Linked DNA regions of Alligator mississippiensis. The protein of the gene in region 1 interacts with the protein of each later gene in a pairwise test. Links are inferred from orthologs where the notes say so. Each region holds a gene or a part of one and is shown in the gene's direction. Other genes may lie near its edges. The genes, in order: FAM114A1, RAB2B and RAB2A.

What was found.
Region 2: the proteins of FAM114A1 (region 1) and RAB2B interact in binary tests that used the Homo sapiens proteins (3 or more experiments, as listed by UniProt). The two-hybrid records come from large-scale screens. The link is inferred for Alligator mississippiensis from reciprocal best matches to the Homo sapiens genes FAM114A1 and RAB2B.
Region 3: the proteins of FAM114A1 (region 1) and RAB2A interact in binary tests that used the Homo sapiens proteins (3 or more experiments, as listed by UniProt). The two-hybrid records come from large-scale screens. The link is inferred for Alligator mississippiensis from reciprocal best matches to the Homo sapiens genes FAM114A1 and RAB2A.

Annotation. Positions count from the first base shown.
Region 1 is NC_081825.1:50,196,923-50,206,410, forward strand, and holds the start of FAM114A1 (protein NOXP20), read left to right. Parts: upstream 1-4,802; 5' UTR 4,803-4,817; coding exon 4,818-4,974; intron 4,975-8,083; coding exon 8,084-8,430; intron 8,431-9,488. UniProt on the Homo sapiens protein: May play a role in neuronal cell development.
Region 2 is NC_081830.1:3,888,978-3,899,225, reverse strand, and holds RAB2B (ras-related protein Rab-2B), read left to right. Parts: upstream 1-6,471; 5' UTR 6,472-6,594; coding exon 6,595-6,640; intron 6,641-6,724; coding exon 6,725-6,796; intron 6,797-6,918; coding exon 6,919-6,986; intron 6,987-7,128; coding exon 7,129-7,211; intron 7,212-7,318; coding exon 7,319-7,411; intron 7,412-7,684; coding exon 7,685-7,796; intron 7,797-8,008; coding exon 8,009-8,077; intron 8,078-8,301; coding exon 8,302-8,406; 3' UTR 8,407-8,874; downstream 8,875-10,248. Other genes in the region: METTL3 (N6-adenosine-methyltransferase catalytic subunit), read left to right, coding at 448-623, 885-1,101, 1,217-1,404, 1,500-1,538, 1,617-1,725, 1,856-1,921, 1,999-2,111, 2,233-2,344; TOX4 (TOX high mobility group box family member 4), read right to left, coding at 2,665-2,749, 3,325-3,488, 3,649-4,371, 4,490-4,570, 4,675-4,911, 5,256-5,594, 5,703-5,945, 6,027-6,095 and 1 more. UniProt on the Homo sapiens protein: The small GTPases Rab are key regulators of intracellular membrane trafficking, from the formation of transport vesicles to their fusion with membranes. Rabs cycle between active GTP-bound and inactive GDP-bound states.
Region 3 is NC_081826.1:68,275,624-68,285,854, reverse strand, and holds the start of RAB2A (ras-related protein Rab-2A), read left to right. Parts: upstream 1-5,737; 5' UTR 5,738-6,006; coding exon 6,007-6,052; intron 6,053-10,231.

The DNA of each region.
Region 1 (9,488 bases):
CCCAACAGGATATCCACCCCCCCGGGATAGAGGCAAAGAGGCAGAGAGAGGGGAACCCATGGATTGCAGTTTTGGGTCGGCAACCCAGAGGGAGGGATGGAACCGGCCCGTAGTAACCGCATGGGTTGGAGACAGGGCGGTTAAGGCCACATTGGACACGGGGTGCTCCCACTCCCTACTTCGGGCAGACCTCGCTCCGCAGAGGGAATGGAAGAGTGAGGGGCCCCTGACGATGACCTGCATACTAGGGGGGGAGATGCGGTTCCAGACTTGCTATGTTCCGCTTAGGGTGATGGAGTTTAGCGGAGAGTTGCGGGTTGGAATTGCCCCGACCCTGGCGTGTGAGATGATACTAGGCCGAGAATGGGGGCCATTCTATACAGTCCTCGAGCGAGTGAGGGCTATGCAAGAGGAGAGGAACCGGATCAAGAGGGGAGACGGATGGGCCGGCGAGGGCCCAGCCCGTCGCAACGAGACAATGGCAGACGGCATCGACCTAGAACAATTCGTGAGCGCGGCCCAATTTCTTAGGGCACAACATGAGGACCCGGAACTGCAGTGGATGTGGGACGCTGATCCCGGGGAAGGACCCTCACAGAGGCGTCCCCGCTTCGAGGTAACAGGGGGACTATTATATCGGGTCCACCGGGGTGAGGAGGGTACCATACGGGGGAGACAGTTAGTGGTCCCGTCCTCACTTCGCCAAGTGGTGTGGAGATTGGCCCATGACTCACCCCTGGGTGGCCATCTGGGACGTAACAAGACCCGGGCGAGGCTGGCCCAAGAATTCTTTTGGCCTCGTCTCCAAGAGGACGTGGAAAGGTGGGGGGCCGCATGCCCCGAGTGTCAGAGGGCCCAGGAATGGAAGCCCCCAAGGGCACCCCTGAAGCCCATGCCAATAGCAGAGACACCGTTCTTGCGGGTCGCCCTGGATATAGTAGGACCCCTCCCCAGGTCACATAACGGATACCAATATATCCTGGTGATGGTAGATTATGCCACCTGTTTCCCAGACGCCGTGCCCCTTAGGTCCATAACCGCCACTCGAGTAGCGGAAGAACTTCTTAAGTGGATAGCGCGGGTGGGCATACCTCGGGAAATACTCACAGACCAGGGAACAAACTTTATGTCTGGGGTAATGAAAGCTTTATGTAAGACCCTTGGCATCACCCAGCTAAAGACCTTGGTCTACCACCCCCAAACTAATGGTTTGGTAGAAAGGTTAAATGGGACCAGCAAGCGGATGCTCAGGCGGTGCGCCCAGGAAGACCCGCGGAGGTGGGATACTATCTTGACACCCTTGCTGTTCGCCATAAGGGACGCTCCGCAAGAGTCAACCCAGTACTCTCCGTTTCAGTTGGTGTATGGCCATAGCCCTCGGGGACTGCTACAAATCGTAAGGGAAGAATGGGAAAAGCCAATAGGCTTGGGGGTGTCGGCGGAGAGGTACCGGGAAGAGCTACAAGACCGAATCTCCATGGCCCAACGGATCTCCAGGCGAAACCTGAGGGACGCCCAAGGCATACAGGAAAAGCGTTAGAAGGCGAAAACACGGACTTTCCAGTCGGGGGACAAAGTTTTGGTATCGCTGCCAACTTCCTCCAGCAAACAGCTGGCCATGTGGCAGGGGCTATTTACCGTGGTGAGACAAGTAGGACCCGTGGATTACGAATTACTTAAACCAGGCCACCGCCGGGAACGACAGATTTACCACGTGAATCTGCTCAAGAAGTGGAAAACTCCTCAGGGCTGGTTGGCCCTAGACGGGGATACAAAGGAGGACCTGGGACCGCCGTGTCCCTGGTTAGGGAGACCCGGGGAGGAGGGGTCAGTACAAATGGGCAAGGAGTTGGGCAATCACCAACAGCGAGAATTAGTAGCTCTGATAGAGGAATTTAGGGCAGTGTTCCAAGAGATCCTGGGACGAGTAACGGGAGTAGAACATGAAATCAGGACACCTCAGGGAGCACTGGTGAGGGAGAGATGGAGGCCGATACCTCAGCGGTGGCAACGGGAAATACAGCAAGAGATCATGAGAATGCAAGAACAAGGGATTATACGACCGTCCCGCAGTCCATGGCGGAGCCCCATAGTCCCCGTCGTCAAACCGGACGGGTCATTGCGCATATGCATAGACTACAGGAAGCTCAATGCCCTGACTACGTTTGATGCCTTTCCGATGCCCCATGTCACTCACCTCATGGAGAAAATCGGTGAAGCACAGTATATAACCACGCTTGATTTGGCAAAGGGATATTGGCAGATCCCGATGCGCCCCATGGATTGTGCCAAAACAGTCTTCGGGACCCCGTGGTCCAGAACAGCCTTCTCTGACCAGAGAAATCCAGGGCAGCCTAAGGGCCAAAAGGGGAGCACATAAAAAGTGGAAACAGGGTGAGATCACTAAAGATGAATATACCTCCTCTGCTCGTGCTTGTAGGGAGGCAGTTAGGCGGGCCAAAGCTACCATGGAGCTGAGGATGGCAACCCAAGTAAAGGACAACAAGAAATTGTTTTTTAGATATATTGGGAGTAAAAGGAAGGCCCAGGGAGGAATAGGACCGCTGCTAAATGGGCAGAAACAATTGGTGACAGATAGGGGGGACAAGGCTAAACTCCTCAACGAGTTCTTTGCCTCAGTGTTCCTAAGTGAGGGGCACGACAAGTCTCTCACTGGGGTTGTAGAGAGGCAGCAGCAAGGCGCCAGACTTCCATGCGTAGATCCTGAGGTGGTGCAGAGTCACTTGGAAGAACTGGATGCCTTTAAGTCGGCAGGCCCGGATGGGCTCCATCCGAGGGTGCTGAAGGCACTGGCCGACATCATTGCAGAGCCACTGGCGAGAATGTTCGAACGCTCGTGGTGCATGGGCCAAGTCCCAGAAGACTGGAAAAGGGCTAACGTGGTCCCCATTTTCAAAAAGGGGAGGAAGGAGGACCCGGGCAACTATAGGCCTGTCAGTCTCACCTCCATCCTTGGTAAAGTCTTTGAAAAAATTATCAAGGCTCACATTTGTGAGAGCCCGGCAGGGCAAATTACGCTGAGGGGAAACCAGCATGGGTTTGTGGCGGGCAGATTGTGCCTGACCAACCTAGTCTCTTTCTATGACCAGGTTACGAAACGCCTGGACACAGGAGGAGGGGTGGATGTCGTATACTTAGACTTCAGGAAGGCCTTCGATACGGTATCCCACCCCATACTGGTGAACAAGTTAAGAGGCTGTGATGTGGATGACTGCACAGTCCGGTGGGTGGCAAATTGGCTAGAGGGTCGCACCCAAAGAGTCGTGGTAGATGGGTCGGTCTCGACCTGGAAGGGTGTGGGCAGTGGGGTCCCACAGGGTTCAGTCCTTGGACCGATACTCTTTAATGTCTTCATCAGCGACTTGGACGTGGGAGTGAAATGTACTCTGTCCAAGTTTGCAGATGACACAAAGCTATGGGGAGAAGTGGACACGCCGGAGGGCAGGGAACAGCTGCAAGCAGACCTGGATAGGTTGCACAAGTGGGCAGAAAACAACAGGATGCAGTTCAACAAGGAGAAATGCAAAGTGCTGCACCTAGGGAGGAAAAATGTCCAGCACACCTACAGCCTAGGGAATGACCTGCTGGGTGGCACAGAGGTGGAAAGGGATCTTGGAGTCCTAGTGGACTCCAAGATGAACATGAGCCGGCAGTGTGACGAAGCCATCAGAAAAGCCAATGGCACTTTATCGTGCATCAGCAGATGCATGACGAATAGGTCCAGGGAGGTGATACTTCCCCTCTATAGGGCGTTGGTCAGACCGCAGTTGGAGTACTGCGTGCAATTCTGGGCACCACACTTCAAGAAGGATGCGGATAACCTGGAGAGGGTCCAGAGAAGGGCAACTCGTATGGTCAAGGGCCTGCAGACCAAGCCCTACGAGGAGAGACTAGAGAAACTGGATCTTTTCAGCCTCCGCAAGAGAAGGTTGAGAGGCAACCTTGTGGCTGCCTATAAGTTCATCACGGGGGCACAGAAGGGAATTGGTGAGGATTTATTCACCAAGGCGCCCCCGGGGGTTACAAGAAACAATGGCCACAAGCTAGCAGAGAGCAGATTTAGACTGGACATTAGGAAGAACTTCTTCACTGTTCGAGTGGCCAAGGTCTGGAACGGGCTCCCAAGGGAGGTGGTGCTCTCCCCTACCCTGGGGGTCTTCAAGAGGAGGTTAGACGAGTATCTAGCTGGGGTCATCTAGACCCAGCACTCTTTCCTGCTTATGCAGGGGGTCGGACTTGATGATCTATTGAGGTCCCTTCCAACCCTAACATCTATGAATCTATGTGGGGCCTATTCGAATTCACGTGGATGCCCTTTGGCCTCAGCAGAGCAGCTGTGACGTTCCAGAGGTTGATGGACAACCTGTTGGCACTGCACGCAGCGTACGCGGCGGCGTACATTGATGACAACTTTATATTTTCCGCCAGCTCGCAACAACACCTCCAAGACCTCAGAGCAGTCCTGGGAGAACTCCGAACAGCAGGGCTGACCGCCAACCCGAAGAAATGTAAACTACATTTAAAAGAAACAGCATACCTAGGATTTCGAGTAGGCCGAGGGACAGTGCGGCCACTCACAGATAAGATTGAGGTTATAAGGCAGTTCCAGGAACCGCGAACCCGCAAACAACTGCGTTCCTTCTTGGGACTCGTTAACTATTATCAGCGATTTATACCCTGCTTCGCAACGCTCGCCACACCACTTACAGACGCGTTGGCTGGGAGATCCGTAACGCCACTGAAATGGACACTGGGGATGCGAAAGAGCTTCCAGAGTTTGAAAGAAGCAATGCGCCATGACATTGTCGTGCACACGCCTAACTTTAACGCCCCTTTCGTTTTACAGACGGATGCATCAGGACGGGCGCTGGGAGCAGTGTTACTCCAGAAACACGGGCAGGAGGAGCACGCAATTGCCTTTGCCAGCAGGAAACTCAGCCAGGCAGAAACCAGGTATGCCACCATCGAGAGGGAATGCCTGGCAATACGCTGGGCAATAGAATACTTTAAGTACTACCTGATGGGGAGGGAATTCGTGGTAGTAACAGACCACGCACCACTACAGTGGTTGACACAGAAACAGAGCATGAACACCAGGATCACCCGCTGGGCTTTGGCATTACAGCTATTCAAGTTCACGGTGATACACCGTCCTGGCAGAGATAACTTTGTGGCTGACTTCTTGTCCAGGTGGGGAGGCGCAGACAACGCAGAGGAAGGTACGGGCCACATCCACAGGGAGGAGCAGCAGGTGACACATGCTGTCACGAGAGAAAATCAGCCACCACAAGGCAACTTAAGAGGGGAGGACTGTGGCGGCGAAGTGCCCCCACAGGCTAGTGAGGGAGAGAAGGGGGGACCCACAGACCCCAGACCCCGAGAGCAAGCCCCCAGAGGGGCATACGTACCGGCTGAGGAGCAGCGGGAGGAAGAGCCGCATTCGCGGCTGCCATTACGCCGGCTCTGGCAACAGCTGTTCCCGGCACAGCGAACAGCTGAGCCAATCTCAGCGGCCGTAGCGGCCGCTGTGGGAAGGTTTAAAAATGCCGGCAGGACAGGGAGAGAGGGGGAGCCAGGGAGAGAGAGTACGGGTGTGCTGCCCGTGCTGCGGGCTCTCGCATGGAGCGGAGAGGACCCAGCCTGCGGGTCTCAAGCAGGCAGCTTAGACAAGAGCTGGAAGCCTTTCGCAAACAGCAGAGCGAAAGGCAGTCAGAGAGTGCAAGCCGAGGCAATCTCTCTGCATCCTGAAGCGGCTGACGCTCAGGAGGCAGGGGAGCGCTCTGCTGACGGTAGGAGAGGGGAGACAGCAGAGGCTCCAGGAGGGAGCTGGAACCAGGGGGAGCACCCACCAGCTCCCCCTAATTCAGAGGAGTATTTTCTGTAAGAGAGGAGAAAGGAGAAATCCCTCCCAGCAGGAGGGAGGACGACCGGGAACCGGTGAACCAGTCAGAGGCCATCATACTGGGCCTGGAAACATCTGGAACGCATCGCCCAGCAGTTGGCGTGTGGACGGGGTGTAGGGGAGGCGGAGCCCCATGGATCACCACGGCCGACAACCGTGAGTAACACTGTCTATCGGGAGGCCCCACCCAGGATAAAGACCTCCACTGTAGACCCCTCTGAAGGTAATTGATTACATCCAAGTCGTGGCAGGCGAGTTGAGGGGAGGGGCAACACCCCGATAGGGCAGGTGGAGCGAGGCACAGGCTCCACACCATCACTGATGGTATAACACACAGCTCACTTTTGGTTCCATACAAAAATTACTTGGTGAAATGTTATGAGTTAGACTCACTAGATAAAGGTGGCCCCTTTTCTCTGTAAAATCAACACATATATTCTATCTGCCTTCTTCCTGATTGTGTTCTCATCACAACTCAGTTGTTTTGTGCAACTGCTCGTCAGCTCTGGACCTCCCTCCATCTTCAGGTCTTCCAGAGGCCAAGCCTGAATATCTTTTGGAAGCACTGCATGACCTTCCTACTTGGGCTGGCTTTTACTAAACAAAACTAGGATAAGATGTTGTTCAGAGGGTGTCTGTTTTATCCTAGATCCCTTTTAAGTTGTTTTGGTCTTCATGTTACTCGCCTGTTTCTAAGTTATTGTTTGCTTATTTTAAGGTGCCTTGAGCCTTTGTTGGGAAGGGTGGTATATAAAAATTAAATAAATAATCCTTGTCAAGGAAAACAGAGACTGCCATACTCTAGTCACATCACATATGCCTCTGCATAGTTAATAAAGATTATAGTAGCAAATGAAGGAGGAACTTAATTTTAAGTTAACCAGTGTGTTTATTGTCTTTCCTGTGTCTGTCTCATGTTTTAAATTCTGAATAATTTTTGTGGATTTTTTTTACCTTTAAACTTAGTTTTCAATGTACAACAATCTCTTGTGCTTACTAGGCCTGATTCTGATTTCATTCCTGTGGGGCTAGCGTGGGCATCTCTGGCAATGTGTGTGTGGTGCTATGGTGAATTTTTGCTTCTTGGACTCCAGTCTGCTCTGTAGATTGGACCTGTCTACAACAGAAATTAGAGTAGACTTGTGACTAATTGTACTTAGGCAGCGCAACTCTGGCTGGCTGTCTAGAATACAGACTTGTCTGGGCAATCTCCCTCTCAACTCTGCTCCCTAAGCATTCTTAAAGAGAGCAAAAAGCTGTATAGAGTGCTTTTTAAGGAAAATTTACCTCAAGGGTCAACTTAGGGCCCATTTACAACTGATGCCGTAATGTAAAGATCCTTCACAAGTGCAGGAACTGGCCTTTAGTTCTGGTTTTCATCACCATGAGTAAAATCAAAATCAGACCCACTGCAAAAGGGATTTTGCTAGACCTGAGAGTCGTCAAGGTACTTTTAAGAATGGATTTGCATAGACAGTTTTACAAATCAAAATACGTTTTATAGCAAATATGAATATTCAAGTAATATTTGAAAATGCTTGACAGAAATATGTAATAGTATCATGGTTCAAAGTTAAAATAAAAAAGATAGGAAAAGAGAAAAGCCATATTTTCAGATGAGATTGAAAAAATTATGGAGTGCAGGTGAGGTAGGCAGGTCCTAAAAACAGTGTTCCAGGTGGCAAGGGTTACAGAGATGTTTTTTCCCCACTTAAATTGGTGAAATAATGGGATAAGACCCAGTGGATACTGATGCTAAACAAGGAGGAAGATGAGAAGGAAAGAAAAAAAGATGTGTTTGATCTATGGAGCATGCTAAATCTACAAGACTTCTTTGGAAATAGTCGGGGTTCAACGATCTATACTGACCTTGCCCACCTTATCTCTTGTTGACAGTAATTGGCATTCCATCAATGCCAACTATGGATGGGGGGCTATAACTGGCCCTCAGAAATGAACCTTCATGATTTCTGTAGATAAAACATGTATATTTGTAATATACACTTACATTGTCTCTCATTTAATTCTTACCATGCTGCATACCTGCAAGCATTGGTGAGTAAAGCTGCTTTTTAGAATGGTTCTGTATCATTTAAGTGTTTCTGGAATTTGTAATAACTGAGTAGTTAATTTATATATCTGTGCTATTTTTTTAAACAGAAATAAAAATGTCTGGTGACACAAGTGATGCAGTACCCACCAAAGGAAAACCTGAAGTAATAGAAATGCCTAGTAGTGATGTGTTGCCTGATGATGAAGCACTACATCATGAAGTGACCGGGATACTGCATGGGTCTTCACAAGATGGAGAAAAACAATCTTTCCATAATACCGCTAATGGACAGGAAGGAGACCCAACTATCACTGAGCATCCTTTGACTGAGGAAGTGAAAAATCAACCTTCTAGCACAGACGTGACTGAGAATGTAGCCGCTGACTGTAGCGAATCTGTGAGCCTTGATCCTGAACTTGAATCTGAAGTGACACCAAGTGAACAAAGTAATCCAGTAAGTGACCCTTCAAAAACATCTATTCTGAAGATAATTACCTTGCTATACTAAACAATCATGAGTCTGGCTCCCTACTTGAGGAAAAGGGCAGTTCTGTCAAAATTATATATTGATTGTAGTGTCAGCAATTAAGAAATAATGAGCATCACTTTTTTTTTTTTAAGAAAAGCCTTGGAAATTACATGTAGACTTCTCTACATTGAAAAAATATAAATTATTTATATTGAAAAACAGCTCTTAAAAAGTTAGGAAGTGTCAGATTTTTATTTGTCTGTCTTATCTTAATTGGCTTCCCTGGGCATGTAAACATAAGACAGTTATGATACAGTCTTTAATCATTCACTCTCATGCTGGGCTTTCTGCAGAAGCTCTGCCTCCCTCAGTAGACAAGATAGAATCACAAGGTTGTAGAAATAAAGCTGCTGCTAAATCTGGCACTTCCTAACTTTTGACTTTGCAACCTCATTAACATCATTTTAATCCAGAGGTGCTGAACCTCCAGCTTGTGGGCCAGATGCGGCTTGCGGAGTCATGGTATCTGGTAGGGGTGTGCAAAGCTTTGGTCCATGATTTGATTTGGAGAAGATTCGGCCCAATTCGGAGGCCGAATCTCCAAATCTGAATAGAATTGGGAGAAGAAGAAAAAAACTCTGAATCAATTTGGAGACTCCAAATTGATTTGGAAAAGATTCAGAGATTCAGAAGGCAGTCGTTCAGGGGAACAGAAACTGAGAAGAGGGAGGGGGAGCAGGGGGGAAAAGACTGACATCTCTAGCTGACCAGTAACTGTGATCTTTCCCCAAGTCCCCTTTCAAACACAGTGCTCTGGGGGAGGGACATACAAACAGCATATAAGCCTCAGTCTGCAGGCTTTCTGTGCCTTTTGAGAGATGTTTCTGCCTGAGCAACAGTGTCTGAAAGGTACTGGACTGGCTTGGCTTCCTACCTAGTCAGTCTCCTGCTATTTTCTGTTCTTGGAAAAGAATGGATATAACTTACTAACTAGAATCCCTCTACTTATCCCTATCCAGTCCATTTCTTTCACTTTATATTTG
Region 2 (10,248 bases), on another chromosome or scaffold:
CAGGAGGTGCTGGACGCCTCAATTCAGCTTCTAGAAGGGCAGTAAGGGCTAGTGAGTTAGAGGGGAAACTGCGAACCAGGACGCCTGGGTTGTATCCCAGCTCTGGGTGAGGAGTGTGGTCTGCGGGGGGGTAGGGCCTGGCACCAGCACACCTGGGTTTCGTCCCAGCTGGAGGCAGAGCAAGGGTTTTGTAGGTTAAAGAAGGAAGTGCGGGACAGACAAGACTCCTGAGGTCTTTTCTCAGTTCAGAGTCTGGGGGAAGGCAATAGTGGATTACAGCAGAGGATCTGGAAACCAGGACACCTGGGTTCTGCCTTGGCTTTGGCGTGGGAGTGGGGCAATTAGAGCAGGGAGCTGGCAGCCAGGACTCCTGGGTTCTTTTCTTGGCTCTGGAGGGAGGAACCCCCAATATCCAGGGCCCAGCTGACCCTTCCCCGCTGACCCCAGGTGAGCCAGGAAATCCTGGAGCTGCTGAACACCACCACGGCCAAGGAGCAGTCGATTGTAGAGAAGTTCCGGTCGCGCGGCCGGGCCCAGGTGCAGGAGTTCTGCGACTACGGCACCAAGGAGGAGTGCGTGAAAGCCACGGGCGCCGAGCGGCCCTGTCGCAAGCTGCACTTCCGGTGAGAGACGTGTGCACACGCGTGTACCTGTGCGCACTCATGCACACACACCCCCTCCATCATGTCCGTTCCTTGCCACGGCTCTGCGGAGAGCAGGGGCAGGGGTTGAGAGCTGGGAGCTCAGCTTCCAAAGTGGGAGTGTCTGGGCACCCAGATTCCTGGGTCCAGTCCTTACCCACAGTACCCAGTGGGGTTGCACAAGGGGTAGGACAGGGGCCAGGACGTCTGGGTCCCGTGCCCACCCACCACCCTGGTCCGCAGGCGCATCATCAACAAGCACACGGACGAGTCGCTGGGCGACTGCTCCTTCCTCAACACCTGCTTCCACATGGACACCTGCAAGTACGTGCACTACGAGATCGACGCCTGCGCTGACCCTGGTGCCCCTGGCACCCGCGACCACAACCCCGGCCAGGAGCTGGCCCTGCCGCAAGCTGTGGGTGGCGACGCCAGCGCTGACCGTCTCTTCCCACCCCAGGTGCCCACTGCCTGAGGGGATGCTTGTTGGCAGGGGCCTGTAAAACTGGGCAGGGGAAGCTTGGGGTGGGAGGCAGAGCACAGGAGTCTGCCCTCACATCTCTCTCCCGGCCCAGTGGATCTGCTGCGACATCCGATACCTGGACGTGAGCATCCTGGGGAAGTTTGCAGTAGTGATGGCTGACCCGCCCTGGGACATCCACATGGAGTTGCCCTATGGGACGCTAACTGACGATGAAATGCGGCGCCTCAACATCCCCGTGCTACAGGACGAGGGCTTCCTCTTCCTCTGGGTCACTGGGAGGTACTGAGGGTCTGGGAGGGGCTGACCTGGCTCAGAGGGGTCATGGGTGTCTCTGATGCAGGTCAAGGGTCTCACTGGGGCTGTCTCCCTCACAGGGCCATGGAGTTAGGGCGCGAGTGCCTCAACCTCTGGGGGTGAGTGTGTACAAGTGAATGTGCCCCCACATGTCCCCCCTCACACCCTTCCCAGCTGACCTCTACCCCCCGCCCCAGGTATGAGCGGGTAGACGAGATCATCTGGGTGAAAACCAACCAGCTGCAGCGGATTATCCGCACAGGGCGTACGGGGCACTGGCTCAACCATGGCAAGGAGCACTGCCTGGTAGGGACTGGGGGCCTGGTGCTGAGCACGGCTACTTGGTGGGTGCAGGGAGGGGGTTTGCTGTTGGACCTGGGTCTCAACTGGGCCCCGGCAGCCCGTGTGCCAAGCTCAGCAGCTCTGTCCCCGGCAGGTCGGGGTCAAGGGGAACCCCCAGGGCTTCAACCGGGGCCTGGACTGCGATGTCATTGTAGCAGAGGTGAGTCAGCTGTGCCTGTCCCTTCATTCCCCACTTTCCGTCCAGAACCCCTGCTCAGTGCTGCCCCCTCTCCTCAGGTCCGCTCCACCAGCCACAAGCCCGACGAGATCTACGGCATGATCGAGCGCCTGTCACCTGGCACCCGCAAGATTGAGCTCTTTGGGCGGCCCCACAACGTCCAGCCCAACTGGTGAGTGTCTATGAAATGGGAGAGGCTGCTGGGACCGACTCCTGGGTCCAGCCTGGCAGCAGGGCTGGGACAGGCCCACAATGTCCTTTCCCCCCCTGATGCCTACTCTTGTCCTGGCCAGGATCACCTTGGGGAACCAGCTGGATGGCATCCACTTGCTGGACCCAGACGTGGTAGCCCAGTTCAAGCAACGCTACCCCGACGGTGTCATCTCGAAGCCTAAGAACATGTAGGGGACTGAAGGGGGAACCTTGCTCGTGGGGACTGTTTTGTAATAAAAGAGAGGATGGAAAGAGGCACAGGCCATGTTGATGGCTGCAAGGAGCTGGGGGCTGCGCCAGCAGCTGGAGGCTTCCCATGTCCTGTCCCCAGTGAGACCCTCACACTGGCTCTGTCCCCTCCCACTTTAATCCAAACCAGAAAGAACCGCACCACAGTCAGCCCCAGTACTCCCCCCAGGCCCTGTTCCCCCCTCCTCTGCTGCATTCCAGTCCGGCTTCCCATCACGCTGGAGGCCACATGCAGGCCCTGACCCTGACCCCACAGGACAGGGCTATTTCACAAACACGACGCTGCCGCCGCTGCTGCCACCGCTGCTGCTGGAGTTGCGGGAAGCCAGCCAGGCCAGGAAAACGTCCCTGCAAAGGAGGTAGAAAGCGTATGTCAAACATGAGGCAGGACTGCAGGGGGGGAGATGAGGGCGGTTTTTGGGGCAGCTCCATCTCGTGCTGGCCATATGATGTGATGCCAAGACAGCCCCATTACTGCTGCTATGGGCATTAGTGGGGTAATTCTGCCTTCCAAGGAAGTGCTAGGCTGTGCCAAGAAGGCCCAGCCAAGGCAGGCCAGTCTTGCCCCCCAGCTCAGGGTCAGCTGGATACCGTGTTGGGGTCAGGAAGGAACTGTATCCTGGGATCAGGCCAGCACACTCTGGGGTTTCAGCTTTGTCTACACGGGAAGAAGGGGGCACAACATCTGCCTAAGCTCTTCTGAGCATGACTTAATGAAGTCATTACAGTGGCAAGGCCTGGTCCTCACTGCCCGAGGGCAGGTCAGGGTGTTTGATGCCCCATGGCTGGGGTTGTGCCCGAGGGCTGTATGCAGGTTGGAATGAGCTGGACACTGTGGCTGGGGAGGGTCCGAGCAAAGCTGAACCTAGCTGTAGCGAGGCACGCCCGGACTTCCCCGCAACCCCGTCTCCACCCCCGCTCACCGGCAGTGCTTGACGACGCACTCACTGCTGCAGTACTCGTTGTCCCAGTCGCTGCTGGCCACAGGTGGGTTCTCGCAGCCCGAGCGCACACAGCGTGGCCGCGGTGACTCGGCCATTGGGGACCCGGTCACCAGCTCCACAGCCATCTGCGTTGGGGACTCAACCTGCAGGTGGGAGGGGGATCAGGGAAAGGTTATGCCCAACTGTACCCTGTGTCTGCTCCAACTTCTGGACACAGACAAGGCCGTAAGCTCGCTGGTTCTCAGCCTCTGACAACAGACCAGGAGTCAGGACCCAGCTCCCCACACCCAGCCATGTACTCACCTCAGGCACCACATCAGCAGTAACCATCTCCATGGGCTCAGGGGAACCCTGGAGCTCAGGACTGGGCCGCTCAGGGCTGGCCTCCTCAGCCTGCAGGGTGACGGGCTGGATCTGCAGGGCAGGTGGGGGCAGGATCTTGATCTGCAGCGGTGGGGGCTGCTGCTGTAGGTTGAGCCGCACCTTCTGCTGCAGCGGGGGCTGCTGCATGGCCTGCAGGGGTGGTGGGGGCTGCAGCACGGCCACCTGCTGCGTGGGGGGCTGGGGTGGGGGCATCTGCTGAAGGGGTGGGGGCTGCAGTCTGGGCAGCTGCATGGAGGAGGCAGCCGCAGCTGCAGCAGCTGCCGCCTGCAGCACGGAGCGAGTGACGATCTGGGTGGTGCCGGTGCCAAGCTGCAGCCCACGGGAGGTCACCACAGTGGCGGGGATGACCGTGACCACGCCACCCTGGGACACAGCCAGTGAGGACGGCAGCATCTGCTTGGGAATTATGATCTTCGTGATGCTGGTCTGGGGAGCAGGCGTGGGGACAGCTGGGGCAGGCTGTGGAGTTGGCGAGGAGATGCCCCCAGAGACGGTGGCAGTTGGCGTGGCCGTAAGCGGGGTCTCCTGTGCAGGTGAGGGGGCCAGGGCAGCAGTCAAGGAAGCAGCGGGAGTAGACGTCTGCACGGACTGGGAGGCAGGAGAGGGTGGCGTTGGGCTGGGGTCCAGCTCTGTTTCCAGCGTCTGCACGGAGAGAGAATGGGGGATGAGAAAGACGTACAAACAGATACGCAAGACCCTGGCGCACCCGCGGACAAGAGAGCTGAGCCCCGGCCAGCTGGCAGAGGCCCAGCCCCCTTACCTGACACACCTGGATGGCTCGGTAGGCTGCCAATGCCTTCAGGTACTCCTTCTTGGCCGCCTCTGTCTTCCGCTTGTAAACCTTGGGGGAGGGAGGACTAGGTCAGCAGCAAGCCCCAGCCCTGCTCTCATTCCCCCCCACCAGCTTCTGTTCCCCCTGCCCCGTGCCCTCCCAGCCATGCCCACCTGCTTCTGCTCCTCGCCCAGGCTGTCCCACATGGACGCCACGATCTTGGAGACCTCCCCAAAAGTGGCGTTGGGGTTCTGCCCCTTAATGGCGGCCTGCGTGTCACGGAAGAAGAGCGCGTAGGCCGACACCGGCTTCTGCGGCTCGTTCGGGTCCTTCTTCTTCTTCTGCTTCTTAGCCGGCTTCGGCTTCCGCCCCGCGTCCAGCACCAGCGTCGCCTTCTGGGCCGGGGCCTGCTGTGGGGGCGAGAAGAGGGGGCACGGTCAAACTGCAGGCTGGAGACAGAGGTTTGCCCATCCGTGGCGGAGCTGTTCTCGGGTATCAGCAAGAGGTAGCCTGCGACTGGGACGACTAGAGGCCGCGAGGCACAGCTGGAAAGCGCAACAGGGCCGGGCAGGAGCATGTGGCCACTTCTTGCCAACAAACACGGAACCGCCGGCGGCCTCGGCCCCAGCTCCTGCTGACGGGGCAGCGACCGAACGCGGCAGGCGTGACCTCAGCGGGCTACGGACGCAAAGCAAGGGGAGGGGGGAAGAAGTGGGAATCAACTACCCGAGCAACGCAGGAGTCAGGCTCTCACCCGTCTGAACTCCTCAGCTTCCTCCTCCTGCAGCGAGCTGGTGGGGGAAGGCGTGGTGGACATCCGCTCCTCAGGTGACGCCGCCGTGGCGGGGGCCACAGCCGGGGCGGCGGCAGCGGCGGCGGCGGCGGCAGCGGCGGTGGCAGAAGGAGCGGCGGCCGGGGGCAGAATGGCGCTGCCCCCCAGGCTGAGGCCGAGCTGGGAGCTCAGCTCCGACTGGTCGATGGTGGTGAGCTGCCCGTGTCCCATGAGGCTGCCCGGGCTCATGGCGTTCATGGGCACGTCGATGGTGACGGGCGGGTTGGCGTTGTACTGCGCGCCCATGGAGTGCTCCAGGTCCTGGGGGCACACGGCGCAGGCTGGGGGGGGGCCGGCCGGCACCACCGCCAGCAGCACCGCTCCCTGCCCTGCGCGCCCGGCCCGGGCGGCCCCCCAGCACGCACTTACCATGGACAGCCCCCCGGGCAGCAGCCCGCCGCCCTGCTCCATGAGGCCGTGGCTCATGGCCACGGGCATGTCCAGGGCTTGCACGCCGTACTGGGCGGAGAAGCTGGCGTCAGGGGCGCCGCCGGGGTCGCCCAGGTCGTCGAAGTGCCCCACCACGTCCGCCACGGCCAGCGACGGGTCCGCGTCCAGCGCGATGGGCGGGATCTCGAACTCCTCGTCGCCCAGGCTCGGCGTGTGGAAGGTCTGCGGGGACGGGGACGGGACCGTGAGCCCGCGCCGGGCACCCCGCACCCGCCACCCTCCCCGCCCCGGCTCCCCCCTCACCTCGGCGCCCGTCAGGAAGGGGTGCGTGGCGCCCGTGATGGCCAGGTAGTTGTCGCTCCCGCCCGGGAACTGGGGAGGAAGCAGGGATACGTGACGGGCTTCACCGGGCGGGGCACGGACCCTCTCCCCCTCCCCACCCCCACACCTGTGCTCCCCTCCTCCACCCCCACCCCCACCCCCGTGCTCCCGGCCCCGGCACCTCCATGGCCGCGTCCCGACCGATCGCCAAGCACCGCCTCCCCCACCCCCTCCGAGTCCTAAGGAAGGAACCGGAAATCCCCCTTCGTGCGTCACTTCCGCCTCCCCTCCAAACTCGGGCTCGAACTCTAGGCCCTAAGGGGAAGCTGAATGTAGCCACCCCCCCAGAATCGCCCGTAGGAGGAGTAGAGAGGGAGGCCTCCAGGCGGCCAGCGCGGCCCCAGGAGGCGGGTAGAATGGCACCGGAAGTGTGGGCCGCGGAGCAGTAAAGGCGCCAGGAGGCTGCGGCTGGGCTAGAGCGTCTCCCCGGAAGTGAAGCTGAGTCGGGGGGTAGAGCGGCCCTGGGAGGACCGCATCGGACCGGGGCATCATGTCTTACACCTATCTCTTCAAGTACATTATCATCGGGGACACCGGTACGGGGCGGGGGCCCGGGGCCGGGAGCGGGCAGCGGCGGCTCCGACCCCGGGCCCAGCCCTGACTCCGCTCGCTGCCTGCAGGCGTCGGCAAGTCCTGCTTGCTGCTGCAGTTCACGGACAAGCGCTTCCAGCCCGTGCACGACCTCACCATCGGTGATGGGGGATAGGGGGGTTGTGGGGCTGTAGGCGGGTGGGGGAGGGGATGAAGTCAGGGTGCTGTGGGGGGACAGGAGGGGTGTCCAGGCCGGGGGTGCTGACGGAGCCTGGCCCTGCAGGTGTGGAGTTCGGGGCGCGGATGATCAACATTGACAACAAGCAAATCAAGCTGCAGATCTGGGACACAGTGAGCCGGGCTGCGGGGGTGGCCAGTGTTCGAGTCCGTGGGGTGTGGGGGGGAGCGGGGCCGCCCGGCGGGATTAAGCAGCGCTGGGTCAAGCCAGAGCCACGAACGAGATCCCTGACCCCTCTGCCCCTGCGCCCCGCAGGCCGGGCAGGAGTCCTTTCGCTCCATCACGCGCTCCTACTACCGGGGGGCGGCTGGGGCTCTGCTGGTCTACGACATCACCAGGTGAGGCCCGGCTCCTGGGGTGGGAAGGCTTCCCCCTGCACCTCCTTCCCTTCCTGGGGGAGCCCTGGTGCTGCCGCCGCCCCCTTCTCATGGCAGCCCCCACCCAGGCGCGAGACCTTCAACCACCTGACTTCATGGCTGGAGGATGCCCGGCAGCACTCCAGCTCCAACATGGTGATCATGCTCATCGGCAACAAGAGGTGACAGGCGGGGAGGGGTGGGGGGACCCCTGAGGCAGTGGGGGGCTAGGAGGGGCGGAGCCTACAGGGAGGCTGCTGGTTATAGGATGCAGGGGTTTGGGTATAAAAGGGAGAGGCCCGAAGGTGGTGGCCGTAAGAAGACCCTCTGGATGTCGCCCTGGATGCAGGCCTCACAGATGTGCGGTGGGACTTAAGCTGGCCTTTGGGTGGGTATGGGGTCCCAGATGGGTCCTGGCCATGATGCTTCCCCCTCCTCCCTGCATGCGTCTGCAGCGATTTGGAGTCACGGCGGGACGTGCGGAAGGAGGAGGGCGAGGCCTTTGCACGGGAGCACGGGCTGGTCTTCATGGAGACCTCTGCCAAGACAGCTACCAACGTTGAGGAGGTGACTGGGGTTGTGGGGAGGGGGGGTGAGGAGGTGCTCTTCCGCACCTCTCGCAAAGGAGCGGGTCTTGGCTGAGCCCAGGTGGGGATGTGGACCATCCAAATCCTAGAGCACCCCAAACCCTTGACAAATGGGGTCCCGGAAGGAGTGGGGCCACTAACCCTTAACTTCCCCCATCCACCTCCGCTTCACCCTGGGCTGCCTTCTTTCAGGCCTTTATTGACACGGCCAAAGAGATCTACAGGAAGATCCAGCAGGGGCTGTTTGACGTGAACAATGAGGTGAGTTAGGAATCCAGTCCGGAACACCTGGATCCCATTCTTCCTTCCATGGTGGGGCCTTGTGGGGGTGAGCAAGGTATGCTGCTGTCCTTAACACTTGGGTCCCTTTCCATAAGGGTTGGCTGATTTATCTGGGCCTGGCACCTACCTTGGGCAGCCTAGTTTTATTGATTGCTATGCCCCTATTAATGCTCTCTCCCACCCTCTTCCTTGTTCTCTTCCAGGCAAATGGCATCAAGATTGGTCCCCAGCAGCCTTCGGGAGTGGCTCCTGGTGCTGGCTCTCGCCATGGCCCCCAGGGCTCCGGGGACAGCTCAGGCTGCTGTTGAGCCTCTGGGGCCAGGACCAGCTCGCTCTAGCCCCTGGCAAGGGAGACAGCTCCTCGTGGCTGAGCCAAGGGGTGGGGGACTGTAGGGGGTGGCTGGGCTGGGTAATTTCCCCCCCTCCCCCATGTCTCAGCAACCCCCCCCATCTGGGCCCTGAAAAAAGGGGCAAGGACCAGGCACCCCTTAGCCTGTGCCTGGGGGAGACTTTGGGCTCTGCCTCAACCACACATTCCTCCTGGCTGGCTGTGGGTTGCCGACGGGACAGAGCCCAGGGCTAGGGCCTCCCCTTGTCAGTGCCTTCCACCCCCCCCCGGCTGTCTCTCTTACTGCCTGGGACCCAGTTGGGTCTGGCTGGGTCCCCTGTGTCCTGCAGGGTCCTGGCCAGGTGCCCGGCCCCTCCCTGCACCCATGTCAGCTTTTATACTGTACTTGCTCTCTGTGGTTTCTCCTGTTATTAAATGTCTGCATGTGTTCGGCTCTCCCCATGTGTTGCTCTCCATGGGGGTGGAGGGACTGGGGAAGCTGCTGCAGTGAGTGTCTGGGAGTAACCTGGGAATGTCTTGGCTCCCAGATCCCTCCCCAATCAGGTCTGCTAGGCCCCAGCCCCTTGCTGGAGCCCAGGATACAACCCAGGAGCCCTATTTCCTGTCCTGCTCCTAGAGAAGGAATGACTTTCTTATCAGCATCCCTTTCATGCTGGGTGGGTGCTTTTGTGGTCTCCAAGGGGAGTCCAGCTCCATGCTCCTAGTTGCTAAGTGATTTATGCCTCTTGGGCAGCTCCTAGCCCCTTTTGGAAGCAGCTGAAGCAGCACCAGGCCCATGGCTCTGCAGGCCCCCAAATGGGATTGTGTGACAGCACTGGTAGGGCTGCCCACGGCGCCCAGGCCCTGTGGACACTGAGGAATCCCAACCTCGGTGAACGTGGCTCATGGGTCACAGATAACCCCTCTGAGCTCCTTGTGATGCCCAAAGCTGCTGCCTGGCTCCTCTGAGGGGGCCAGCAAAGAGCTGTCCAGCTGGGAGGCTAAGAGTTGGGGTCACTGTTGCCTTTAACCCCCTTGAGGCAACTCATCCATGGGGGCCAGGGCTGGGAAGGGTTTCTGGGTTAGGCCAGTGCTTGGCTCATGGAGGGTGGCTTTGCTCACACAGTCCCCTCTGCTCCCTGTGGCTGTCCTTCCTTTGCTGCCCCTGTCAGATGGGGACCAGGACTGGGCCAGCCCCTTTCTCCTCCAATCCTTGAGAACCTGCCAGTCCCCAGGCAGATCCTTATTTGTGGCCAGTGGACTGGAACCTGCTGTCTTGGGTGTTCAGGTAAGTGCTGTTACCCCCTGGGTAGCTGTTCTTTGCTCGTACCTCCTCTTTGTTCCTCCTGCATTCAAGGTCACCAATCTCTGCACCTAGAACAGGCCCCTCCGTGGGCTCTGATCTGGGTTTGTGTCTAGGCTGAGTTCATCTTGGGTTTTGCCCAATGTGACTGTCTTATGAATAGACCTTGGCTGGTGAGTTGCTTGGGGGCAGAAAGGAGAGTAGCTATGCACTTCTGTTCAGTATCTGGCATGATGGAGCTGTAGCTGACAGCAGCCTTGGGTGTTACCTCAATGCAGGCATTGGCCATAGCAGCAAGGGTTTCAGCCCCAGCCATGGGCAGTTTAACCACCTAGAATTGAGTCTTGTCAAATGAACCTTGGTTCTCTGAACTAACATTTCCTTCTGAAAAACTTTGATGTGATTTGGGGGGATGGTGGGGGGGGGGAAGGTTTTCCCTTTTTTGAGGCTAAACAGCTGCTGTTTGTTTTTTAGTTTGGAAATAAACGTTAACATTCTCAGGTTTATTTATTCACTTGT
Region 3 (10,231 bases), on another chromosome or scaffold:
TCAGGCATCGACTTTGGCTCTGGTAGGTTGGCCTGGATGTTAAGGCAGCTGGAGCCCCAGCCTCTGGTGCCAGAGGGCTGGGCTCCCAATGTCTGGCATCCCTCTCTCTCCCCAGAGAGAGACACTTTTTTACCAACTCTGAAATGTAGGTAGCTGGGGGAGGGTGGGGGTGGAAATGGATCCTCCCCAGCCTAATGCAGGGACGCTGTTCCCCCTGCTCCAGATGCAGCCTCCGCACCTGCAGCAACGCTCCTGCCAGTCGCAGGAGTCACACCCTACCTGACGTACTCCCCACTGGCTCTCTCTCCCTCCTCCCCCCGTGCTGGCTTCCGGCGGGGTTTTTAAATCTTCCCATGGTGGCATCCCCCGCTGCCACCATTGGCCCGGCGCTCCCCCATCCCAGGAGCAGCTGTTTGAAGAGCCGGTGTAATGCTGGTTTGCGCGGCCGTGGTTTCGGTTCTGGCTCCAGTCCCGGCCCCAGCCGCGCTCCTAAAAGTAAGTTTTCCAGGGTGTGGGGGGCCTGTTTGTCCTGTGCACGGGCTCTTGGGGTTTTCCCCAGGCCCCTTGGAGCCTGTGGGGGCTTCTTGCCGCCACCCTAGTTAATATGTTTTTTTTTTAAGTCAATAAACAATATTTTCTTATACTACTTTGAGTAAAATAGTTCAGTTTTTGAAATATAAGGTATATTTTTTTGTTTTCTTTTTAGCTACTTCAAGGTCATTTCAAGGACACTTTGTTTTTCCTCTGTTAGAAGCGGGGAAACATTAAAGTAAACCCATTGCTGGTTTTATCAAATTTTATTTTTAGAGTTCAAGGCAGTAAAGCACAAGTTTATACAGAAGGACAAACAGAACATACTGCCTACATTTAAAGATCTAATGGTAGTGACTTCACAAATTCAAAGACAGTGCCAAGAGCAAAGGGATCCTTATTTTAGCCAAGTTTACAGACATTCAAAAACTGAGGCCCTGAAGAGTAGAGAGCTTGCAGTGCTGATACTATGCAGCCAGGGGAGGGCCAAGTACATGCATCTCAGTATGCTCTGGAGGTTCTCTTAGTCTGCCTGGCAACAGATGGCAGTGGTGCATAGGGCAGCCCAGATTGGCTGACCCAGATTGCCTATGGCCAGTCTGTTTTCCTGCAGCACAAGATGGGGTGGGGTTCTACCCCTTGCTGAAGCAGCAGAGTCCAGCGAGCAGTATACTGGGCAAGTCTACATGTGCAATTAACACAGCTGAATAAACTCCAGTGCACTTTGCACCAGAGCTTATTGCTCCCAGGTGCTGTGTTTGCATGTGCGCCTAAGACTGTAGCACAATGAGCTGGGTCGGAGCAGGGGACTCGGTGGGTCAACCTGCCAGCTCAGGTTTGCTCCAGCCTGGCTTAACATGCTGCAAAGGGACTAGCTGGGCTAGCCAGCAAGCGGTCCCCACACCGAAGAACCTTTCTGCCCTAGCTAGCCACATTAGCATTTATACGTGCATTGTGGTGCACTAAATAATGCCACCATAGGATAGTACTTGTGTACTATAGTACTTCACTGCAAAAGAAGCACTCCCAGAGACACTGTGCATGCCATGCAGCTGCCAAAATGGCTGCAAGAGCTGCTGAACAAGCTGCCACACAAGCAGCTCCCAGACTGGTGATGCGCAGCATTGCGAGCTGCCCCACCCCCTCCCTAGTCAGCGCTTGCCCCAGCCCAGATCCCAGCCCCAGTCCCAATCCCTCCCTCGCTGTGGGGGCATTGATCTGCACCCCCTTTCCCTCCACCACAACAGACTTACCAGCTGGAGGTAGCTGTGTCCAGAGTCGAGGCCTATTTAGTTTATGGCTGAATCTCCAAAGTGGCACTTAATCTCTCTTCCAAATCAATTCAGAGGTTTCTGATTCAATTCAGACCTTTTAATTGGTCTCCCGATTCGATTCAGATTCGGCCACTGAATTGGGCCGAATCTCCTCTGAATCAAACTGGCTACCAAAGCCCTAATTTACAGTATACTTTTTTTTGTTTTTACCTGGGATACATTGTAGGTGTAGGGTGCTCTGTGTCTTTAGTATGTAAGAAGGGTCAGAGTAGATGATCTTGCTGACCTCTTAGGTGAATGGTTATATATGAATGTAAGGGACTGGACTATGGCTTGGAAGGTGTGCTCTAGTCCTGTATTCCTCTATATCATATAAGTCTCATTTGGGAATTTAATGATCATTAAGTTTGCTGTTAACGTGCAAAAAATTATCATATAGATCAAATCATTCCTGCCCACTAAAACCTACTAGTACTGGTACTTTCAAAATGATTTTGAAATGTTTAAGCTTATTTGAAAAATAGCTGGGGATTTACTTTCTAGTTACCTAGTAAATACACTGACTCATGCCACAAAAAGCCCATCTAATATGTGGCCTAAGTGTCACAATAAGGTTCTTTCAGTTTTTATACCAAATAAACTTATAGCTGCCCAAACATTTTCTTCTAACACCTTGATTTACAAAGTAGCTTGTCATTTGGAAGTCACAGCAGTTCCTTCTTAAGTGTCACTACTGATAAGGAAGGACCTACAAAAATCGCTATTGCACAATTTTCGTGGAAACCACAATTTTGGACAGGCTCCACGAAAAAGCACAGGATCCCTGAAAAAAAGCTTACTGAAAATAAAATGCTGGCTTGTCCTGGAGAGCCATCAATCCTTGTGGCCACTCAGGCCTGGTTGTGCAGCCTGCCAGGGGAGAAGGGGAGGCTGCCGCCCCTGCCCCTTGCCACTGATTGGCTATGAGGACTGTTCGTCATTCCCCCCCCCCCCCCCAATTGGCAGTAAGGGACAAGGCCACTGGTGCCCCTCAGCCAATCAGAGGCATGTGGGAGCCCACTGTGCTCTGCCTACTAAAATGGCTGCCAGCTGGAGATCTGCCTGTGAGGTCAGCAAGCCGCTACCTCTAATTCAGTAGACCCCTAATAATAATGGTTCCGCAAATTGGCTTTATACTCCATAATCCCATTTCTGTCACTTAGGAAATAAACATGTAAAACCATTAGCCATTGGTGAAGAGTCAATATCATGATTTTAAACTGGATATATCTACCTGGTACATAAAATTACCACTAGTAAAGACTGATACAGTTTACTCTGTTATTTAAAATGGTGTAGAAAATACCACATTTAAGTACAGAACAGCCACTGTTTCCATAGTAGCTATGGAGCCTATGAGAAATAGGTATGTTAAACTTCCATTAAAGTTATTAAAACTTAAGAAAAGAATATAGGTGGCTAGCCTAGTCAGCCACTGTATAATAATCTGCAGAATATCTCCATGTCTTATGTCTGGACAACTGAGAAGTAAAAATCGAGCAAACATGGTACTTATTTGCAGAGTAGGCACTTAAAATTTATAAAGTAAGGGCAAAGTAAATATAACTTAGAGGGGAATCAATTTTTTATTAATTTCAAGTTGGAAATATTTCAAATCTAATGGAGGAATGCTGATGGAACTGAACAGTTTAGAAGTACAACTGCAAAGTATATACAATGCACTAAAATATATAAAGAATTACAGGATCCTCTGATAGATGAGAGATATCCATTGGCTAAAATCACTGAATGTTACATTTTTATGAAAAGTTAAACAGGGGATCAGTGATAGGGGAACGGGCAGCAATTTGATAGGTTTAGGTTGCCTAACACTTTCTGTGATAAAGGACATTAGCTCAGCCCTCTATTGTTTGCAGCAGACAGCAGATTAGCCAGCTGCAGAAATGAGTATGCAAGTATTTTTCTGCATGCAATTTTGTTCAGTTTTTGCTGATATAAACGGCAATAAATCACGGGTTCCCTTCTCTCCATATGCATTCCTGAGAGAAATGTTGGCATGACGACAAAATAACTGAACGCATGAACACATGACCACCCAGCTCATGCCTGCCAATGCAGCAACTGATCATGACACCATACTGTTAATAATCAGGAGCTGCCATACTAGTAGCTTCCCCCTAACCTAGAGATCCACACTATCCCTTCTGGGCAGCACTATGTGGCATGAGCTCCTCGAATCACAAAGGAGAAAGGATCCTCACTACTGAACTATACCCAATAGTCCTTTCCCCCTTCCATGGAATAAGATGTCTCTAACATGATACCACTGCCACTGGTCAAGTTTTTGAGTGACAGTGGGTGCAGTATTTGTTTGTTCTGAGCTCAATACTCTCAATGCAAGTTAAACATGTTTTGAGTGTGGCTAATGGACCTCTGCCAAGGGACTTTGGCAGAGTTTAGGTATGGCTCCATATCTCTTTCAGAATGCAGTGTAACATGGGTGGGAATTAGGCACCTAACCACTCAACTAGGGTACTTTTTTGCATGCTTAAAAGATGAATGATACATTAGTTATCCTTATACCAGGGTACAAAAACAGTGGGCATTCAAGGTACTGTACAGACAATCCTACTATGGTGAAACTCTTGCAGATCCGGTATAGAATTACCCTGGGAAACATGAGGGGTAAAACTACACTTGGAGTTCTGCATAGCAGAATTCACCCATGTTCACAACTTACCCAAGGGGAACCATTTGTTCAAAGTAAATACACTGTTGCCTGCTCCCTCACCACCTGGTGGGGTAGTGCTGTTAACAGCACGTACTTGCGCATAGCTACCCTAGCAAAGTTTATCTTCTATCGGCTCCAGATCACCCCTCTAATTTACATTGGTGTGTCCACGCCCTAAGCTTAGGTGGTAAGAGATCATTTTGGGCCATAATTAAAGGGCCAAATTAATTTAGTCACCCACAAAATGCTGCGGCTGCTGAAACAGGATTATTCTGCATCACTTCTGACTAAGCTACCTAGCTTACTAATGTGGATGTAGGCCCACATGTGTGGATCTCCTAGCTAAGACGGTGGCCTGTGAGCACTTTAGAGTAACACTGCCTGGTACCAATCAACCTGGTCAAAATATAATTTCCTGCCTTGGGAAAAGCTAGCCCAAGGAGGCCAAAGTCATTATGACCACAGGTCATGCAACGTGCACCTTCGCAGAAACAACAGCAGGCTCTGTAGTATCAGCGGGGTTTGTGAAGACTTCCTTGGCCTCCGAGGTGCTGACAAAAAGTGCAAAAATGATAGAGACCCGACCCCCCCACCCTGATTTAGATCAGGTCCCTGGTTACAGCAAATACATTTATGCCAGAGCAGATGAGCTCAGAAGTTGCCTGCCGAACTCTGAAGCTGCCTCCTCCTCAGGGCTAGGGTGGCCGTCATAGAGGGCAGTCCAGTTAGGTCCTCTATGGATACAAAACCGGACACCTTTTCTCTTGAAGAGAAAAATAGAGGACATAAAGGCAGTGGGCTTCGTATCCATAGAAGATGGAGTAGCAGAAAACTGGAATGTCCTCTATACTGGCCACCCTACCCCAGGAACATCCCAGCAGCAGACCACCCCTGGGTAGACTGGGAGCGGGGCAGCTCTTCTACAAGCCACTTGGAGCCATCCCAGCTCCATGACCCTTTCTGAAATTGGTGCAAGGCCCCGGGGCTGGAGGGGCCGGCGCCGCCCCCCAGTGAGGGGTGGGAGCAGCACGGCCAAACCCACTCCAGGTCCCCTCACCCCCCGCAACACGCCCACACAGACCCGCGGCGGCCTCGCGACGGGATGACGAGGACACGCCGGTGCCCGCGGGGGGAGGGGCAGCGCGGCGTCACACGGAACGTCCCCGGGCCCCGCCCCACGCTCCGGCCGCCTGAGCACTTCCGGGTCGGCGGGGGGTGGGGGGCCCGGGAATAGGCTGCGTGACGTTGCCGACGGGCTCGGGCCGCTGTTATTGTTCGTGCTCTGGCGAGTCGTCGCTGCCGCTGCCGCTGCCCCGGACGCTGAGCGGCGCGAGCCAGGGTTGGGGCGCGGGCCCGGTGGGCGGGCGGGCAGCCGTTAACGGCTCGGACCCCGACAGCGGGCGGGGCGGGGCGTCACCGAGGAGCAGCAGCCCGGGCGGCGGCGGCGGAGCGGGCGGAGATTGGGCGGCCATGGCCTACGCGTACCTCTTCAAGTACATCATCATCGGGGACACAGGTGAGCAGCGCCGTCGCCCGCACACGGGGCGGCCGGGCCCCCATTTCCGCAGTGTTGGCTTAGCCGACGTGGTGCCTGGCAGAGGAGGCCGGCTCCGCCCTGCGCTCCCCGCGGCCCCGCCCGCGCCTGCGGCCTGCGGCGCCCCTGCCGCCGCGCCCCGGCTTGGGCCCCGCGCCCACGGGGGAGGGGGTCCAGAGCGCGCCAGGGCACGAGGCCAGGCCCTGCCCCAAGCAGCCTCCGGCCAGCCCGGCACCACCCCCTTCCGTGGCTTTCGGAGCCGTGCTGTTTCCCACCTCCCTGCTGCCCACATCAGCAGAGCAGGCATTCTCCATCCCTGGTGTCCCCCTCACGTGGGGTCTCCTCTCCATCACATTCCTTCAGTTGCCAGGGAGCCCCTCGGCAGCCCAGCCCTCAAGCTCATCCTGATGCCGGGAGATGGTTGGGTGCAGGCAGGGGCCCAATTTTGACAGCCTCTAAGGCTGTTTGTTTCTTTCCATTGTAGTCATGGCCAGGTTTCCAGTGGAAGGCAAAGCACAGGGATGTGGACGCAGCCTGCAGGCCTGATGCAGTCTGCGGAGCCTGTCATTTAGGCCACAGGGATCCTGGAGGGGCTGGGAGTTTAGGGATGAGGTGAGCCCCACTGTGATGGCAGATGAGTAAGCAACAGCTGCACCAGCCCTGGTGAGTTTCTGCCACTGCTCACCCTGCCTGGGACAAGACCCATCCTATGAGGAGCCTGGTGACCTGGATCCATCCAGAGAGGCCAAGGGCTTTTGACACCCCTGATAATAGTACATGTATCTTATGCATTCAGGCAAACTTGGTGCTGCAGTTGCCCACTGTCTACATCATGGTTAAGTAAGTCTACAGTTGCTTCTTGTGCAAGTTTAACCTCACTATTTATTGCTGGAGTGGCTGTTCTGTAGGAACATACAGATACGGTTGCTGAATGGCTTAATACTTATATTTCTTGTGCTTAAGCTCCCTATGGTTTTTATAAAAAGACAACAATAAATATTAAGCAGCGCAAAGGCCCACATTAGTTAAAACCTAAGAAAACAAGAAGTTCTTAGTATAAAATTACTCTCATTATACCTTTATCCCATGTGCCCATGCTGTGCAGGACATGGAGCTTAAAAAGACTGTATCAAGCAGCATGACTTCAAAAGTAAAATCAGAGGGTGTTTTTACTTCCCAGAAAGATGCTACCTTTGCCCTCTGACAAGTTTGGAACTAGAGTTATAATATTAAAGAATGGGAAAGCCTGCCTTACTGCGGCCATTCTGTGGGGCACTCGCTTTATTTCACTCCTGAAAATGTACATGCCACTGTGGGACATGGAAACTCAAGTTAATTACTCAGGTGCATCGATTCTATACGGTCTAAGGCTTGACACAAACCTTAAAGTATATGTTGCATAGAAGTTTATGCAGTTCTGCTTCTTGGTTGGTGGGGCCTGGTCAGAAATTTTACATCCTAATACTAAAGTTGTATTGGTATAATTTTTCTGAGTAACTTTTTAATTTTCTAAAAGACGTGTGACAAAATTGTATACGTGGGGATGGTCAGATAGGTACCCTAGGAGAACACAATACATTAATACGATATTTTTTTTTTTGTAAGTTTACTTGCATGATTCAGAATTTCTGATATAAAAAGAGAGAGGAAATTGAGGCCGAAATAAACCTTGATCTAAAATGACATGCTTCACTTGGAAAGAAAGACATGTTTCCAAAACCAGTTCAAATAAGTTTATAGTGATAGCTATAGACATAGTTTAAATCTCTTGAGAGCCCTTTATTAATTTTTGTATAGCTTACATTGTGGAACTGTCTTTCCTGCTGTAGAACTCCCAGTCTGACTCAGATTATTGCAGGGATTTCTAGTTAGACTCCTTAAAAGTGTACTAGTTGAGTGGTGATTCAGCATTTAATTTTAAATATGCCTCAGTAGGAAAAGAAATGAAACCCTTATGGATCTCTTCATTACTACTAAGCTTGGTTATGCAAACAAATGTATGCAGTTATACCAGATACCTGCATGTATTTGACATGATCATAATACCAACAGTTTTCATCCACCTAAGTGTAGGTATTTAGTCTGACCTCACTTCTTTAGCTGCAGCTACAGAAAACTGTGTAGGGTTGGTTACATTTTACTGGACATATCTAGTCCCTTTGCATGCTTTCTGGCTCCAGTGACTTTACTTCTAGTATAACAGATGATAGAGTTTTGGGAGAGCAAGACAGATTCTGCATCCTTAATTGTTAATTAAGATCTAGTTTGTAGAATTTTCTACTGTTGGAGAGGTATGAGCAAGAAATAATAGAACTTGACTTTCAATGTGGGTTTGTTTGAAAGGCTGGGAACTTAGGAAAAAGTAGTTTATTTGTAAATTGAGAAGGGTTTTTCTGGAATTGGTAACTATGGGTACATGGACTCTGAATCATCACGTGGAATTGTCATTCTTTACAAGAGAGAGGTTAATTATTGTTGCTTTTATAGAGCAATTACAGGAGAAAGTAGACCTCTATCCATATATTTCTAGGATGCAGTAAAAATTAAGTTCAGAAATTCACTGAATTACTAGTAGATCATAGACAGTGATACTAGGAGTTTAAAGTAAAGTATATATGACATCTGTCATATATTAATAACTAAATGCTCTAGGAATGATTGTTTCAGTCAGACCTTTGAGCTGGCAGTTGATTACTAAATTATGCTGTATCTCATGTGTGATGTTGGAACCTGTGACATGGCAAATCCTAATCTAGTATAAAGAAATAGAATGAAAATCTGTCATGTGTGCTGGAGGGAATGGGAAGGGGAAAGGGAGAGAGGTCACCATAGCTACAGTTCTAGTAAACATATGCTTTATATCTGAGATTTAAAATATCTACCTGGTTTAGTACTGCCAAAAAATCTTTTTTTTTCCTTCCCTCCCCCTCTTCTCTTAGTTGAATATTGCATGTCTTGCTCTTCTTTTTTATAAATAACGCATCATGATGCCAGAAGTAGAAGCTTTTTGTTGATAAAGGAATATTTTCCTGTTTTACCAGCCCAGTATTAGTTTAAAAAAAACAGAACTCTGATGTAATTAAGCTACATCTGCAATCTCTTCAAAATCTTTAATACGCACTTTTACTATAGCATATGTACAACAACATATTTCCATAAAATCAAAATGAGCAAAATTAAGGAACCTTTGATGCTATTGAACTTTGTTTCATTTAACAACCAGAGCTCTTGCCATCAAAACGGCTATCTTGAGACTGTTGTCCCAAGGTAGCTGAGCTAGTGCAGCACATGATGGTAGTCTTGGTACAGTCACTGTTGATCACCCAGGTGGGTGGCTGACCAGGATGAGTGGCTGTAGCTGCCCAAGGTCCTGGTTTGAGATCATGTTCCCTTTAGGAGTTTGTAATCAGGGCTCTCTAGCGACTTGACAGCCTTCTACAAAACAAATCTTGGGAAATGATTGGCTAAGCTGCTGTACTGTAGAGAAGGACTTGTGGGTTACAGTGAACCCATGAGCTGACCATGAGCCAACTGTGTGCTCTCATTGCCAAAAAATAAAATAAAAAGCCAACGGTATACTGGGTTGAATTGATCCTGAGGTGGTGCAGAGTCATTTGGAAGAACTGGATGCCTTTAAATCGGCAGGCCCGGATGGGCTCCATCCGAGGGTGCTGAAGGCACTGGCCGACATCATTGCAGAGCCACTGGCAGGAATATTCGAACGCTCGTGGCGCATGGGCCAAGTCCCAGAGGACTGGAAAAGGGCTAACGTGGTCCCCATTTTCAAAAAGGGGAGGAAGGAGGACCCGGGCAACTATAGGCCAGTCAGCCTCACCTCCATCCTTGGTAAAGTCTTTGAAAAAATTATCGAGGCTCACATTTGTGAGAGCCCGGCAGGGCAAATTATGCTGAGGGGAAACCAGCACGGGTTTGTCGTGGGCAGATCGTGCCTGACCAATCTAGTATCTTTCTATGACCAGGTTACGAAACGCCTGGACACAGGAGGAGGGGTGGATGTCATATACTTAGACTTCAGGAAGGCCTTCGATACGGTATCCCACCCCATACTGGTGAACAAGCTAAGAGGCTGTGATGTGGATGAGTGCACAGGCCAGTGGGTGGCGAATTGGCTAGAGGGTCGCACCCAAAGAGTCGTGGTGG